Linked DNA regions of Rhinolophus ferrumequinum. The protein of the gene in region 1 interacts with the protein of each later gene in a biochemical or structural test. Links are inferred from orthologs where the notes say so. Each region holds a gene or a part of one and is shown in the gene's direction. Other genes may lie near its edges. The genes, in order: CLSPN and USP20.

The links.
Region 2: of the proteins of CLSPN (region 1) and USP20, one has a biochemical effect on the other in vitro, tested with the Homo sapiens proteins (2 studies listed by BioGRID, with this or other methods). The link is inferred for Rhinolophus ferrumequinum from reciprocal best matches to the Homo sapiens genes CLSPN and USP20.

The regions. Positions count from the first base shown.
Region 1 is NC_046292.1:24,820,106-24,827,919, reverse strand, and holds the start of CLSPN (claspin), read left to right. Parts: upstream 1-4,711; 5' UTR 4,712-4,832; coding exon 4,833-4,856; intron 4,857-7,814.
Region 2 is NC_046295.1:78,218,435-78,226,833, forward strand, and holds the start of USP20 (ubiquitin carboxyl-terminal hydrolase 20), read left to right. Parts: upstream 1-5,315; 5' UTR 5,316-5,445; intron 5,446-5,462; exon of another isoform or gene 5,463-5,568; intron 5,569-8,399. Other genes in the region: C12H9orf78 (splicing factor C9orf78 homolog), read right to left, coding at 918-1,016, 1,122-1,258, 1,943-2,140, 2,909-2,986, 3,505-3,575, 3,795-3,846, 4,671-4,730, 5,064-5,146.

The DNA.
Region 1 (7,814 bases):
AAAAGAAAACAGGAATTGAAGAGAAAATATATGAATGGACCACAAAAAGCTGCTGAATTAAGGTTTTGGGTGCTGTATGGATAGCAGTTTGGAAATGGAATGGGGAGATGAACCTGTGTCTGGGGAGCACCTCTTTAGTCACCAGAAATGCATAGAGAGAGAGAGAGAGAGAGAGAGAGAGAGAGAGAGAGAGAGAGCGCTCCCCAATTTGGACAATGGGTGGCCATGGGTGAGCTAGGAAGTGGCAAACTTTTATTCTACGTATTAACTTGTACCAAGCTAAAGTGAGTCTGTGTTTGAAATTAGTGACCTATATTCTCAATTTTGATGAATGGTACCACAATCTGTCAATTTACCAATCCAGAAACTTAAGAGTCATGAGAGCCACACTGTCTCCACTGTCCCTTGTCCCTCAAGGTTAGTCATCTAACAACCTTGTCAATTTTGCCTGTTTTTTCCCAGTCCATCTCCTCCTCTCCATTGTTACTGTCATTGACTTAGTTCAGGTCCTTATAGTCTCCCACTTAGACAACTGGTCTTCCTGCCTCCAGTCTAATCCCCTTCCAATCCATCCTTCAGATGCTGCCAGAATAATCTTTCTCAAATATATATCTAACCATGTCACTCTCCTTCTTAACAACTCTCCCACCCCCCAGCTACCCAGTTCATAACTGTCTACAAACTAAACTTTAAGCATAGCATTCTACATTTTTTCTTCCTTGTTTAACTTTCACCCATCCCCATCCCCCACCACACATATATACACACCCAGTGTTCTAGTCATACTAACCTACTTTCAGTTCCTCAAACACAACATGCTTTATCAAGCCCCTACACATACCTGGAATGCCTTCTCCTCCCGTGCCAGCCTGGAGAACTCCAATCTATCTTTGAAATTCAGTTCAGGAGTCATATTCCACGACTTTCCCCAGGCAGTCAGCTGCCCCTCTCTCAGGGCCTTGCAGCTATTTGCACATACTTACACTATTATACGAGCTTATTTGCTTGCCTATCTCCAGCCAGCAATGGAAACCTGAAAACAAGACTGTAGTTTATTTACCTTAATATTCTCAGTTTCTAGCATAGGCTTAAAATAGGTGCTCAAAGTTTGTTGAATGAGTGGGTGAATATTTTATAGGTACTTTAGGTTGCCAAAAGTTGCGGTAAAGGAGCTTTGTATGCTGATACAAAAAGCTGATGGTGTGTGTGCCGTCATGCCTTGGCAAAACGCCCTAGTATTTTTTGTTTTTGTTTTTTAGGCCATGGTTTCTTAGTCATTAATTTCACAATTATTTATTAAGCACTCATTATGTGTCAGCTCAAGGGGTACATTAAGCAAGAAAAATAGCCCTGGCCTTCAAACAGGGTACTCTTCAAGAGAAGCTTTATAACTACATGGAATTACAGTATGAATTTTTTAAAGCAGATTCTGGGAGATGCAATTATTTCACTGTACCAAAGGAAAGCTTGAACAACTCTGAATAACTTTTAAATTAAAAATAAAAAAAAGGGCAAGCCCGGTGGCTCAGGCGGTTGGAGCTCTGTGCTCCTAACGCCGAAGGCTGCCGGTTCGATTCCTACATGGGCCAGTGGGCTCAACCACAAAGTTGCCGGTTGGACTCCTAGACTCCGGCAAGGGATGGTGGGCTGCGCCCCCTGCAACTAACAATGGCCACTGGACCTGGAGCTGAGCTGTGCCCTCCACAACTAAGATTGAAAGGACAACAACTTTACTTGGAAAAAGTCCTGGAAGTACACACTGTTCCCCAATAAAGTCCTGTTCCCTTCCCCCTCCACAAAAAAAAAGGTTTTACCATAGGATAGAGTAATAGATAGACTGACATGACCAAGCCCTGCCACATGGTGGCAGTGTGTCTCCAGGAATGAAGACTCAGCGGCCTAGGACATTAGAAAAGCAAGTAGTTCTCACACTTGACTCCAGAGGAATAGCAGCACTAAAAATATAACATGGTAGCCTTTCTCGATTTGCAGAAAAGATGAACTAAAAGATATAATTTAATCAATGTTTTCCCTCCAAACTTAAGCCTTTGGAATTTGCTTTTGTTTGTCTGTCAGCAAGCAAATATAAATAGAATTTTGGAATGAGCTGAGCATGTTACATTCCACGGCTTATTTTTTCAGAGACATATAATCTCAGAATTGCTTTTCTATGTTGATTTTGGGTAATATGATAGATAGATCCTACTAGTGAAAATGTTTCCTAATTTACATGTCCAGATCAAGTGTGTCAGTACTGCAAAGTGTTTCCTAGAGAGTACCTTAGTTCCGGATGCTCTGCCAATTAAACCCATTTGAGAATTATGATCTAATCTATTGTTTTCTAATAACAAATAGAGTAAAACAAGGCTCTGAGATGCTAAATGACTTCTCTAAGGTCACAAAGCCATTTACGGGACAAGTTCACTGGCTTATCCCTGCAAAGTGAACATTCAGACCTCTCTCTTACTGTCATCCATCAACTTCATAAACAGAACTTGTTGGATGATTAACTTTGAGAGACAAGAGACAGAGAGGAGCCAATGTGACTCCCAGTTTTCTGAATTGGTGAGTTATGGATTATGGTGCCATTCATCAAAGTTGAGAATACAGATTGCTAATTCCAAATACAGACTCTCTTTAGCTTGGCACAAGTTAATACGTAGAATAAAATGCTTTCCCTTCCTAGCTTACCCCTTCCATCCATCGTCCAAATCAGACTGATTTGGACTGAAAAGGAGCTCTATAAAGAGAAGCAAATGCTAATAAGGTCTGAAAATGCTAATAGCAGGAGTACTATCTCATTTATTCACTTCCAGAGGGGGTTCAAGAATAATAATATAGTTTTCAAATGACTGAATTAACTAGTTCAACAATTGACTAAGCCCTTTGCTCTCCAAGTATGGTTTCCATACCACCAGCATTAAAAATACCTGGGAACTTGTTAGAAATGCAAATTCTTGGGCCTCACATGAGACATACTAAATGAGAAAATCTGGGAGTGGGGTCTAACAATCTATTTTTATCACCCCTTCAGATCATTCTGATGAATGCTCAAATTTGAGAATGATTTTTCTAGATAGTGAGGATATGGTGTTAAAGAAAACAAAGTGCTTGACCTCTTGGAGCAACAATATACAAATAGATAAAATTTTACGCAGAGGTGAGCGTTATCAGGAAAACCAAAACAGGGGACAGAGGGAGAACGTAGGGGGTCCTCAGGCAAGATCTTTCTGAGGAGTATGAGCTCTGGAGTCAGACTGAAGAGAGTGTGAATACAGGCTCCACCAGTTACTAGCCTTCTAAAGGTTTAATTTCCTCATTTGCTAAAATGGAGATAGTAATATTACTTACCTTACAAAGTTACTCTGAAGATTAAATAAGATAATGGTTGCAAAATTCTTGCAACTGTTTCTGTCACAGGGTAACCCCTCAATAATGTTGGCTCTCCAAATATGAGGGAGGAGTGTATAGATGTATATTTGGGAATTATCACTTAAAAATTAATAGCAAAGTGGATGGAAAGACTGAGATGTGAGAGAAGAGGATGGATGGTAGGCTCTTTTTGGTGGGGGCAGAAGTGGGTTGAGAAGTGGTGAGGAGGTGAAGAAATGAAGATGAGGAGAGAGAACTTTTATCCTAACCCAGCTAAAGGTGGAAACTTGGAAGAGGAGGCCAGTGGATTGGGTGACTATCCTGGTTTGCCTGGGACTGTAGAGAGTCTCAGGAGGTGGGACTTTCAATGCTAAAACTGAGAAAGTTGGGAAAATTGGGATGAGTTGGTCGCCCTAACAGTGGTTAGGGCCATGGGGGGTGAAGTGGAGGTGATAACTACTGTGACCTTTCTTTCTTGGTTCCCTTTGATCTCCTGCTGACAATAATTTTGTGAAGTACCTACCAGTAGTTTGACTCAACCTGACGCCAGACGGCAAGGGAGCTCAAGAATGCAGTGGGGAGAAGTCCACTTTGGCTGGACAAAGCAGGATAAGGAAAGACAGAGCATGGACCCGGATGGGCAAAAACATAGTAAACAGCACAGTGACAAGGGATTAGAATTGTCTGGAATTAATCTTATTCCATACCTTTTATTCTTTTGCCTGCCTTGTCCAAAGAGCTTAGGAGTGGGATGGGTGGGTGTTTTCTGCATCCTTGAATTAACCTTAAATAAAATTATAAAGGTTATCCAACGATATTCTTTAGTATCTGAGCGGCCCGCAAAATTTTACTTCCTTGATTTTCAGTGGTGTGAGTGCTACCTGTATGTACAAGAAGGAGCAGGTAAGATGCAGAGGCTCCAGGGATGGAGGTCCTGGAGAAAATCCCCACAAGGCCACTAGACTATAGTATGGGATAGGGATGCCCGCATGTGCCCAAGAATTTTCTTCCAACTTACTTCCTGCTTGGAGGGCTTACTCCTCATATTGCTGCTTGATGGGAGCTGTCGCGCTACGGTAAAGATCAAAGGTCAAATGCCACCACTTGCACAGTACTGTCTAGCAAGGCCAGAGGGCCCGACGGCCAGGTGGCCAGAATACCTCCAGCCGCCCCGGGGCTCAGTAGGCAAGGGGAACCGCGACCCGCCAACCCAACCCAGATTATACTTGTAGAGCTGGTCGAAAGCGCCTAGTGATTGGTAGGACCGACTGGGGGCGTGGCTTCATGTAGAAAGCCTCCTCTGGATTGGTGCAAATCATCGAGGGCGGGGCCTCCACTCTGGCTAGGCGCGAAAGCTCGAAAGTCGCTGCCGGGCTGGAGACGGCGGGAGCAGCTGCTCAGCCGCTGAGGGAACCGGAGACCTGTTTCGTATTGAACGCAGTGCTGGGGAGACCGGAGTCATGACGGGCGAAGTGGCTTCTGAGGTGAGTTCAAACACATGCCTCCATCCGCGGCTGCGGAGGCTGGGCGCTGAGGGGTGGGGTGGAGCAGGGGTAGTGCCTGGCAGAGCGGGTCGCGGAGTCTGGGAGGCCTACAGCTCCCGGCGTGCACCGCGGGGTCTCGGCCTCACGGCCAGGGGATAGACTCCTCGACCCCTGGATCTCCCGGTCCAGTCCCGGTGCTCGGGTTCCCACGTCTCGGTCTTCTGGGCCATGTTGCTCCTGGTCTTTGCGGCGCGCTCAGCGGACCGCGCAACCCCTCAGCCTGCGCCGCCCGCCCTCTCCTTTGGCGCGTTTCCTGCCATGGGAGCTCTTCCTTTTCAGAGGGCTCCAAAAGAGAGGAAGGCCCAAGCCGAACCGGGCCGCTGGGATGCGGGGCAGAATTCTCTGTAGGTGGACGGCGAGGTCTAAGGGAGTTCATAAGAGGTCATCGCGCCGACTCCGAGAGGGGAAGTACCAGTCTCTAGGCCTCCGGGATGGTGGCTGGCTGATCGCTGGCGGAATAGGGTATAGAAACTAGTTTCCAGTCCTGTGTTCTTTTCTGAGGCTGATCTAGAGTGAGACACTCACCTTGGGAGCAAAATTCAAGGAGACGCCAAAACACTCAGTAATCAAGATAATATTTTAATGCGACATTAAAAAAACAAATGAATGCAAAAAAATCCCAAAATGTCAAACGTAAAGACAAAATCTGACTCTAAGTTAGCACCCCTCAGCCTCACTTACCTCACCCTCATTCAGGCCCTAGTTTCAATAAAACTTTATTTACAAAAGCAGGCAGCTGACCTCATGATTTAAAAAAAATATATATTGCCTTAAGATATTATCTTGATTAGTGAGTTTTTTGAGACCCTCTCTTCTCACTTAGGTCCTGGCCCTGTCTTTCAACCGTTGCTGGTACTGCTACAAATTGCCTAGAATACAGTAATGAACATCACCATGTATTGAGCTGTGTAGTTACCTACACTCAGTTTCCAGACCCACAAACAGAACTAATAGTCTCCCTGCTTTGGATTGTTGGGAGGACCGTCAGCACATACATGGTGATCCTCAGTAATTCTTTAGTACATGTTATTTTTGCTTATTATTTTAATAATTGTACCAAGCCTTCAAATCAACTTAACAGTTGTTGGAGAAGCCTTTAGGGTGAGGCCTTGTCCTCTATTACATGACAGATATTAATATTTTTCACCTTATTAAGTTGATTCAGAGCCCTAAGGACACTAAGGAGGTTAGAGACCTGGCATCTAGGGTAGCTTGGTCACTAACTGATCAAGTCACCTCACACACCTCTCCTTAGATTTTTCACTTGTGGTGTTTAAAATGATTTGTTTGGAAATTTTCAAACATACCAATGTAGAAGGGCTAGTAATGAACCGATCACCTAACTTCAACAATTATCAAATCCTGCCAGTCTTGTTTCATTTATACCCCCACCCTGGATTATTTAGAAGCAAATTCTAGACATTATTTCATCTACAAATATTCCAGTATGCATCTCTAAAAGACAAGGGCTTTCCAAAAAAGATAACCACAATATTATTACCATACCTAAAAAATTTAGAATTATTGCTTAATATTAAATAGCTAGTCAGTGTAGATTTCCTTCACACATACACACACACACACACATACACACACTCACACTCACTCTCACTCTCTGTTTGAATCAGGACCCACAGAAAGGCCGAATATTATGGTTGTTGATATGTGTGTATAGGTCCCCCTCCCTCTCTTTTTTCTTGCAATTTATTGTTAAATCACATTGTAGAGTTTCCCACACCTGGGTTGCATCTCTGTGATGTTATTTAATGTCATTTGGGTAGACTGAGAAACAGTTCACATAGAAAAGGCATAATAAATGCTTGATTCTTTTCCTTTATTTACGGTTATAGTACCCCCACTTATCCACAGGATATACTTTCCAAGACCCCCAGTGGATGCCTGAAACTGCCATAGTACTGAACCCTATATATACTATGTTTTTTCCCTATATATACATACCTATGATAAAGTTTAATTTATAAATTAGGTGCAGTAAGAGATTAACAACAATAATAATAAAATAGAACAATTATAGTAATACACTGTAGTAAAAGTTATGTGAGTGTGGTCTCTTGCTCCAAATATCTTAATATAACCATTCCTTACTTGCCGTAAATGGCTTGGTGTCACTTGTTTCGGGGGATTCCTTGCTGAAGTGTTCATATGGGCCCAGTGCTTTCTGGTGCAACACATTACTGTCAGTTGGAACGTGTTTTCTATTCATGTTTTCCACCCACAAATTTAATGCCTTTCCCATCTTAATTAAGCACTTATCCAAACACTGTGGCTGTAACTTTTGCAGTTTGAGTTGCTACAGCAAAAGCAGCACAAATTTCTTTTTCCTTCTCTACAATTTCACAGATAGATTAGTTCTTACTGCAGATCTTAGCAACCTCAGCATATAATGTTTTTTTCTTTCCTTATTAAGTTGAGAACTTTCACCTTTTTACTTAAAAGAAGCACTTTATGGCTTATCTTTAGTGTGTTTAAATTGTCAACATCACTGCTGTTGCCCTTTGGGGCCATTATTAAGTAAAATAAGGGTGACTTGGACACAAGCACTGTGATATCAGGACAGTTGATCTGATAACTGAGGCAGCTACTAAATGACTAACAGCTGGGAAGTGTATACAGTGTGGATATGATGGATAAAGGGGGGATTCACTTCCTGGATGGGCGGGGCGGCATGGTGTGAGATTTCATCATGCTACTCAGAACAGCATGCAGTTGAAAACTTATGAATTATTTCTTGAATTTTCCATTTAATATTTTCGGGCCACAGTTAACCACAGGTAACTGAAAATCATGGAAAGTGAAACTGTGGGGTAAGGCGGAGGACTACTGTACTCAGAGTTGTTTCTGTAGTATCTTTCAAAAGTGAACAATGAATTTTTGTTT
Region 2 (8,399 bases), on another chromosome or scaffold:
CCCACATGTGAATCACATGAAGCTCTTTGGGAATCAAAGACCCAAGGTATCAAAGACCTTGGTTTTGTAAAACCAAGATGTTACAGAAAATAATTTCTCAAGGAGGAAGGAAGAAACAGAGTAACAGCCTCAGCAAATTTTGCATTTCCTTCGAATCATCCCACTGTTGATAAAAAAGATGAGCCCTCCTGGTGCCGGTCAGCTTGTGGGAAGGGGCACTGTCGGATGCTGAGAAAACACATGAGCATCACACTTCTAGACTATCGGCTATCATTTGGCGACTTATTAGAATGTAGCCTACGGACATGATGTCATCAAGAATGACCACCGAAACACTGTGTAACAAAGGAAAAGTGAGAAACCACCTAAGTGTCCAACCAGAGGTAAACGGATAGACTACAGTGGATCTGTCTATGCAATGGAACGTGACATGGCCAGTGAAAAGGAAAGTAGGTATTTACTGTCATGGACAGACATGCAGGGTGCAGTAGTGAGTAAAACGCTATGAGACCCCAGTAAGTGTATATACAATGTTTCCTAGATGTGTGAATATTGAAGAAGTCTGAAAGGTTATACATAAAAACGTTAACAGTGGTCATCTTTGGGTGGTGAAATTATAAATAACTTTTATTTTTGTTTATTGAAAATTTTCTAATTTTGGGGGTCTCTTTTATATTTGACAGCCCAGTGAGTCCTCAGAGCAACCCCAAGAGGTAGGTTTTATTACTCTCCCAATTTTATAGATGAGGAAATTGAGGTTTGGAAAGGGGAAGGCACGTGACCATAGTCCAGAGCATGGACTGAAACCCAGCTGCTCTGGCCCCAAAGCCAAGCTCCACCCCTACCAACTTCCACCCCCTCCATGGGCCCTGAGCAATGTGACCGCTCCAGGGAGCCGAGGCCTCTGCTGTACTCACGCTCGGGCTCCGGCTTCTCTGTGTCACCCACTCTCAAGGGTCGGGCTTTGGGCTCTTCTTTGTTTCTCCGAATGGGGGCATTGAGCTCCTCGTGATAAACTGGACCAAAAGAGATCAGCGGACACGTCAGACAAAAAACATGGGAAGCAGGGGACCTCAAACCAATGGGCGCAGGAGCGGGGCTGCTTCCCCAGAGGAACTTACATCGGTTGTGCTGCACGTAATTCACCGCCATGTTGGTGGGCACGAAAGATGTCTCACTGTCCTTCTTCTTGTTCTGTTGCTCTGCCAGGAGACGGGCCTTGGCATCCTCCGTGGAAATGATATTTTTTATTTTAGCACTATGGGAAGAAAGGAGCCATGCCACGCATTAGATCACCACACCTCTGGTCCTCAGAAGGAAATGCACGGTGAGACTGGCAGCCTACCACTGCAGGAGGAAACCGTCTTTCTTGGGGCCTTATGGCCACATTCTCAGGGAGCTCTCACAACTATTGGAGAGGTGGGGAGTTATCCTCTTCTGATCAAGAGGAAAGTGAGCCTCCAAGTAAAGTGAATGGTCTAAGGCTTGAAGCCAGAAAGGCCAGAAAACAGGCAAGAACTCAGAAGTCTCCCAACTTTCTACTACACCCAAAGATGTTTCTGACCACTGTATCTCCTCCACAGGCATCCCTTTCAGAGCAGATGTTCTGTAGTAAAAAAGATAAAGATTACGGGGTGGCTAAGTCTTTAACATTGCTCCTGCTAGAATAAAACAGAATACAAGGGCCTGTGAACAAAGGCTAAATAAAAATAAACACTGTTGCTTTCAGCAGTCAGGGTCCCTAAGTCTCTTTTACGACTCTGACCAACTCTTCAGAGAAATTTTTGGGACCACCATCTCAGCCCACCAGAGAGAATACAGTTTGTGTAGGTTTCCAAGGAAACAGGTAAGAAACAGTCCCCTCAGCTTTGAACTGGAAAGCAGAGAGCTCTTCCTCCAGCCTAGGGGCAGGGGAGAGGTAGATCGTGGGTTTGAAACATACTCGATGCCCAGGTCCACCTCAGGGATGCCGCTCAGCATCTGGTTGGAAAGCATCTCCTCAGTCTTTTTTGCTGAGGAAACACGGATGTTTTCTGGAAGCTCGTAAAGACAGTCCTCTGCATTCTTCGGTTTCACTTTCTGTTCCTCGTGTTCCACAATCCCTTTCCTCTTCTTTAGCTCCGTCTCAATGTACTTCATCCTGAAACGAGAAACCCACAGGTCTCAGGGAGGGGCAGAATGTTCACAACGGGCGTCTTTTAAATTAGTGGTCCCCAACATTGGCCCATGGAGCAGTGATGGTCCATGAAATCTTCATCAGCCCATGGAGAGGTAACAAAAACAAAAGTAACGAGTGTTTTCATGAAGCTAAAATTTGCAACTTAAAAGCACCAACTGATGAGATTATGTCCTACACTCTACTGGCATTATTAAACATAAGGTTCTTCGAAGACAAAAAAATAATTGTACCGTATTTCCCCGAAAATAAGACCTAGCCAGACAATCAGCTCTAACGCATTTTTTGGAGCAAAAATTAATATAAGACCCCGTCTTATAGTAAAATAGGACCGGGTCTTATATAATATAATAAACCCGGTCTTATATTAATTTTTGCTCCAAAAGACGCATTAGAGCTGATTGTCTGGCTAAGTTTTATTTTCGGGGAAACATGATAGGTGGTAGTTGTTTAACAACCTTGTTGGCAAAATAAAAAGTGGGTAGTCTGATGTTTATCTGTGCAATGTTTTAGGGAAATATTACTAGTCAAGGAATCTAAAATCTCAAGAACCACTTCTGAAGAACTTTTAGGCATTTTTCAAAGTTTTCCAGCCTCAGATATGGAGGCAAGAAGGGCCAACTTTGATGTCTTTGGATAATTCTAGAAATGTCATCTGTGACTAAATATCTTGGACTGTATCTGGTTGGAGCCCACCCTCAATTGCTCACAGTCAAACAGACTGACACCTACATGTCAGCGTCCTCGTCCCTTCGGTTGGTTTCTGCAGAAAATGACGTCCCCAGGTGGAGGTCTTCCTCTTCACTAATCCTAAAAGGAGAGGAGAGTGAAGTGGGCCTTCGAGTCACAGCTCAGGCTGAGTTTTATGTTATAGCAATAAGACAAATATGCATGTTTTATCATCCTGTTTATAGTGGGAAAAATATATATAGGATACGTAAATAAAATCAATATATGGAAGTGAACTGCTGGCCTCTGGAGATTCCTCTGGGGAATGAACAGATATTTTATTTTTTACTCGTGTATTGTTTGAATGTGCTATTTTTATAATTGTGCTTTTTTATGTTTCCTTAAAAAAGAAAAATGAAACATCCACATGGGTTTGAAAGACAAAAAAACAATGCACCTTTACAAAAAGAGTGTACCCACATCTCTCTATGCTAACTTTTAAAGAGTTTTTGTGTTCTTTCGTTTTGAAACCCTGCACAAAGCACAAAGGATACTTGAAGATGTCCCGCTAAAGCTACTACTGCAGGCCAGCTCTCTGGGGCACACAGACCCTAGCAGGGATACAGGTGAATCTGTATGTCAGTGTGTTCTGCACTTACTTATCTTTGCCCCTTTCCTTCAGTTTCTTCATGTCCACCATACCGCCTGTCTTCATCTGAAAGGGATCATCCTGCAGAACACAAACACAGCTAAGAGGAAACATCTATATATTAGGTTGCTGAAAAAGTAATTGTGGTTTTTGCAGTTATTTTTAACCTTTTAAACCACATTTACTTTTGCACCAACCTAATACTTGGCAGTGGATTTTTTCTTTTTTTAAAGAAAACACCATCACTCATTGAAGAGCATCCACATCTTCCCACTGCTCACGGAGGACCCCACAACTTACCACTAGAGTGGTCTCTTCTTGTACCTTCTCTCCCACCAGCAGGGCCACAGCACTGAGCAAAACCAAAAAGGGAAGGTGGGTAAAAGGGAAGGAATGGCATAGTTTAGAGATGTGGAAGAACGTTTAGAAAGTTTGTAGGTTGCAACATTAGTGCAAGGGTGAGATCTGAGGGATGGGCGCCAAAGCCAGCTGGAAAAGCCTGCAAGAATGAAATAGGGCTCAACAAGCACTTTAGATGCTGGGGGCGGGGTGAAGGGGTACACTTTCCTATAAAGCCATTTGGCATTATCTTGGCTTGGAAACATCAGTTCTAAGATTTTGCCTTCAGGGAAAATAAAGCTAAAGACAAATGCCGGAAGATAGATATTGCAGCCTTATTTGATGAAAGTTTACAACACAACCTACAGGTCCTCAAATAGGGAATGAGCTAAATTATGGGACATGCATTTGGTGGAATGTTATGCTGCCGTTAAAAAGGTTTTTGGGAAAATAATCCACAATGTGAGTGAATGTCCGCAATGTCATAGAGTTGAAAATAGCATATAAGTACCTACTACCCTTTACAAACCAGAGAAAGAATACAGATCGGAAAGAACATTAAATGATAACACTGGTTACCTCTGGGTGGGAGAATTACATTAATAGGTGCTATTTACTGACCCGTTTCTGCACCTTCAGAGCAAACCTGCAGACCACACCGTGCAGGGCATCTCCTGGTTAAATATTTTCAAAGAATGCTAGACCCCTTTCAGGGCAGTGGAAGGTGTACAGTGTGTCAAGAAAAGGGGCTATGTCTGAGGAGGTATGTGTGACAGCGACCGGGGCAGGGGCGTGTCTGTCATCCCTTGCTCCTCCAGGTTCCCCCGCGGTACCCACCTCACCCCGTTGGGCCGCTTCCTCAAGTTCTGCACCTCTCGAGTCTCTTCCAGTTTTAATCTGAAAAAAGGCAATACGCAGGCTGAGAGACCCTCCGCAGAACTCAAGAGTCAAAAAGCAGCTTCGACCCGTGCCCCAAGCCGCTGCTGAGCCGCGGGCACAGTGGTACGGAAGGCGAACCTGCGCCAAGACCCATCAGATCCACTGCCCATCCCGGAGACAACTCTCCTAACTGCGCGGCCTTGGGGGTGGCGACCACATCACTAGGACCCTCAACTTCTCCCGCGACAACAATCCCGGCTCATAGCAAATACGGTCAACGAGGCTCCTGGCCGGTGGTCCCCAAGTCGGCCTCTCTTTTCCTGCCCCGCGGAAACCCCGCCCCAAACGCACCGAACCTCCTCTGAGTCCTGCTCATCTTCCTCCGACTCCGAGTCGGCCCGGCGCCGGCGGAAAGTCTTCCCGGTCACCGGCATGACCGCGCCAGCCCTGCGGTCCAGCCGCTGCGCCGCTGCGCGAAGGCCTAGTATGCTTCCGGCGCGCAGCAGTGCGGTCAGAGCGCCGGCTCCGCCTGGCCCCGCCCCAAGCCCTACCTGGGCCCGCCCCGCCTGGCACCGCCCACCTGGCCACGCCCCCATTGATGGTGTCGGCGTCTTCCGATTGGGAAGCCAAGGAAGAGAAGGCGGGGCACGGCCAAGCCGGCCCCAGGACCCTGCGCGGCGTAGCGGAGGGCGCGTTTGACTGACAGGCTGAGGCGGCGAGGTAGCGACGGCAGGTGAGTTCCTGGCTGCGGCGGGCTGCTTCGGGGGGCCTGGCCTCTCGGAGCAGGGGCGACCCAATCCCTGTTCCGGGCCGGCGGGGGCCTGGCCCTGCCAAGTGCGCTGGACGCCGCGGCTAGGTGAGCGGAGCCCGGGACCCCCCGGACGCTGTCGCCCATTCCCCTCCTCCGTCCAGCGCCCAGGGGGTCCCTTGTGGTCCCGTCGCCCTACTTCGAGCTCCCGGGGGCTCGCTGCTTCTCCGGGACAGGGGCCGCCATGTCCTTTATTTCTGCCAGGGCCTGATCCAGCGTTGAAAGCACGCATGTGGCATTCGGGGCGCTGACTTATATTTCCCCGGGGTCTGGGCCCTGACGTGTTTTTTTCTCTTTAGGGACAAAAAGATGACCACTTATTAGCGGCGGTGAATTAAAGCCCCAGCGCCGACTGCCCCGCTAATAATGACCTCCAGCCACTTCTCCCCGAGGAGAGGCGCGTCTGATCTTTTGAACCCACTCGGGAGGGTTTTGAGGACAGAGGGCCCCTCCTCGGGTGCTTGCCGGCCGTCTCTCTGGACCTTCGGGGGCCTTGTTTTCGTCCTTTGTCACGCAGACTATCGCTCTACCTTTTGCCCCTTTTACCCCAGGGATGCTGTGAGGATTCAGTTTATTTGAAAAAAGGGCATAAACAAACGCTTAGGAAATAACTCCAGGCATAAATAGTGGCTTTGCTTTCCTCAATCTCGGCTGGTCCTTTCCTTTGACAAAGAATTAGCTGTTATTAAGCACTTACTCTGTGGCAGGTACTGGGCTAAGCATTATCTCATTGAACTCTCCCAACAATCCTATGAAGTAGATTCAGTTATTTTTCACTTTGCAAATGAGGATACCGGGCTTCAAAGAGGCACGTTTTGCAGTGCCTGGCACAGTAAGAGTTCAGTAAATGTTTGCTGAAGCTGCTGTTATTATAGCTCTTTGGCTGAGGGGAGGTACTGGTGGAGACTGTTTGGGGTTCCCTCTTTGGGAAGACCATTCGGAAGCTGGGCAGCATTTATGGAATGCCTTACTTTTCTCTGGAACAGTCTCCTCTGAGGTTGTTGTTCTCTCCCTTGGACTGAGACAAATAGTAGACTCAGGACTTCTTGGAACCTTTTGGCTTTGGTCAAAAGCTGCTCAGTAGCTGCTGTGTGACCTCCAGCCAGTTACACCACCTCTCTGAGCCTCAGTCTTTCCTCTTTTCGTGGTGGAGGTGGAAATGGGTTTAGCTCCCAATGTGGCCATCCCCCAGGGTGGTTATGAGGATTTAGTGAGTTCTCTTAATATCAGTTCCAGGATGCAGGGGCCATTTGGGTGGAGGCAAGGTGGGGAAGGCAAATGAGGAGAACTGGAGATGCGTGGGAAGCAGGACTTGCCAAGGCAGGAGGTGCCTGAGGGTTCTCCTTTGAGAATCAGAAGGATGGTGGACCCTCAGTGAATTAAGACTGGGTTAAAAGAAGGAATGTATTTGGGATTTAGGGAAAATGGAGCTGCGTGGAAGTCTACTGGAGAGAAGAGGGCAGGAGGGAGGGAAAGGGTACATGTTCTGAGGGGCAGAGGGGTGTGGGCGCGGGTGTGTGGGGTGTGGCAGGGCTCATGTGGTGAGGATCAGGGCAGGTGGGTGTCCTTATGTTAATGGGGGGTGTGGCAGTGTCACCTTTCCTGTCCAGAGGAAATTGGCTCCTGGCTGGGAGGACGATGGAGCCAGAACCTCCAGGAAAATGATGAGTAATGGGCACCTGAGGCCTGGTCTCAGCAGCTGGTGCCAGGCCCGGATATGCTGCCTGCCTGCCGCGTCCCTCGGGAGGCACTTTCCTCCTCACTCAGTGAAAGCCCCAGGGAGGGAAAAGTGCCTGTCCTTATTCCGGATGAAGCATCTTGGAAGCCTCACCCGGTCCTTGAATGCACGGGCTCTTTGCCAGACCTGCCATCCTGCCTCCTTTCCTCCTGCTTGTTCATCCCCAAGAGAGGAGGCGGGTCTGGTGGGTCAGGAGGGAGATGTGCTCTGGGATGGGTGTGGAAAAAGCCTAACTCCTTTGGCTGGCGATTTGGGCACCAGCTGTGGGGCGGGCACCGCACAGACTCCCGACAGCACAGTCATCCAGCTGCTCTCGAGAGGTCCTGTTCCCAGCATCCGGTTCTCTGAGGAGTGCAGGTTTCTTCCCCTTTCAGTCTTATGAAACGCCTACTATGTGCACTCCATTTATTTGCACAGAGGGAAGGTTGGGAAGGGCTATGAACGCAGATACACCTGGCTTACTTCTAGCTGTGTCCCTTTCTGTGTGGCTTCCCATCTCGGAGCCTCCATCCTTCCTCTCTAAGATAAGAAATAGTGGTCCTTACCTGAGTGTAGGGGGACCACTGGGCATAGTGCCTGGCTCAGAGTAGGCGCTGGATCCTGGAGCTCTGTTGTGGAGTTAGGGTTACCTTTTCCAAAAGACCCCCTCCCTGCTTCCACCTGAAACAAGAGGAAGGGAATCTTTAAAAAGTTTCTATTTAAAACAAAACAAGGGGGCCAGCCTGGTGGCTCAGGTTGTTGGAGCGCCGTGCTCCTAAGCTGCAGTGGATGGTTCGATTCCCACATGGGCCAGTGAGCTGCGCCCTCTACAGCTAAGATTGTGAACAACGGCTCTCCCTGTACCTGGGCTGCCACGAGCAAGAGGTCCTTGCCATCTGCTATGGGCTGCCCTGGGCTACCATGAGTGGCCGGCGGCCAGCATGAGTGGCTGGTGGCCGGCAGACGGGGAGAGGTGACCGGCGGCCGACTGCATCAGCGGAGGGCGGAGGGGAGCGCAAAGCTTTTAATACCAGCATGTCCCAGGGAGCTGTGTCCTACACACCTAGACTGAGAAACGATGGCTTGAACCAGAGTGTGTGTGTGTGGGGGGGAGGTGAAAGAAGGGGGGGAAAATAAGAAAATAAAAAATAAAACAAAAAAA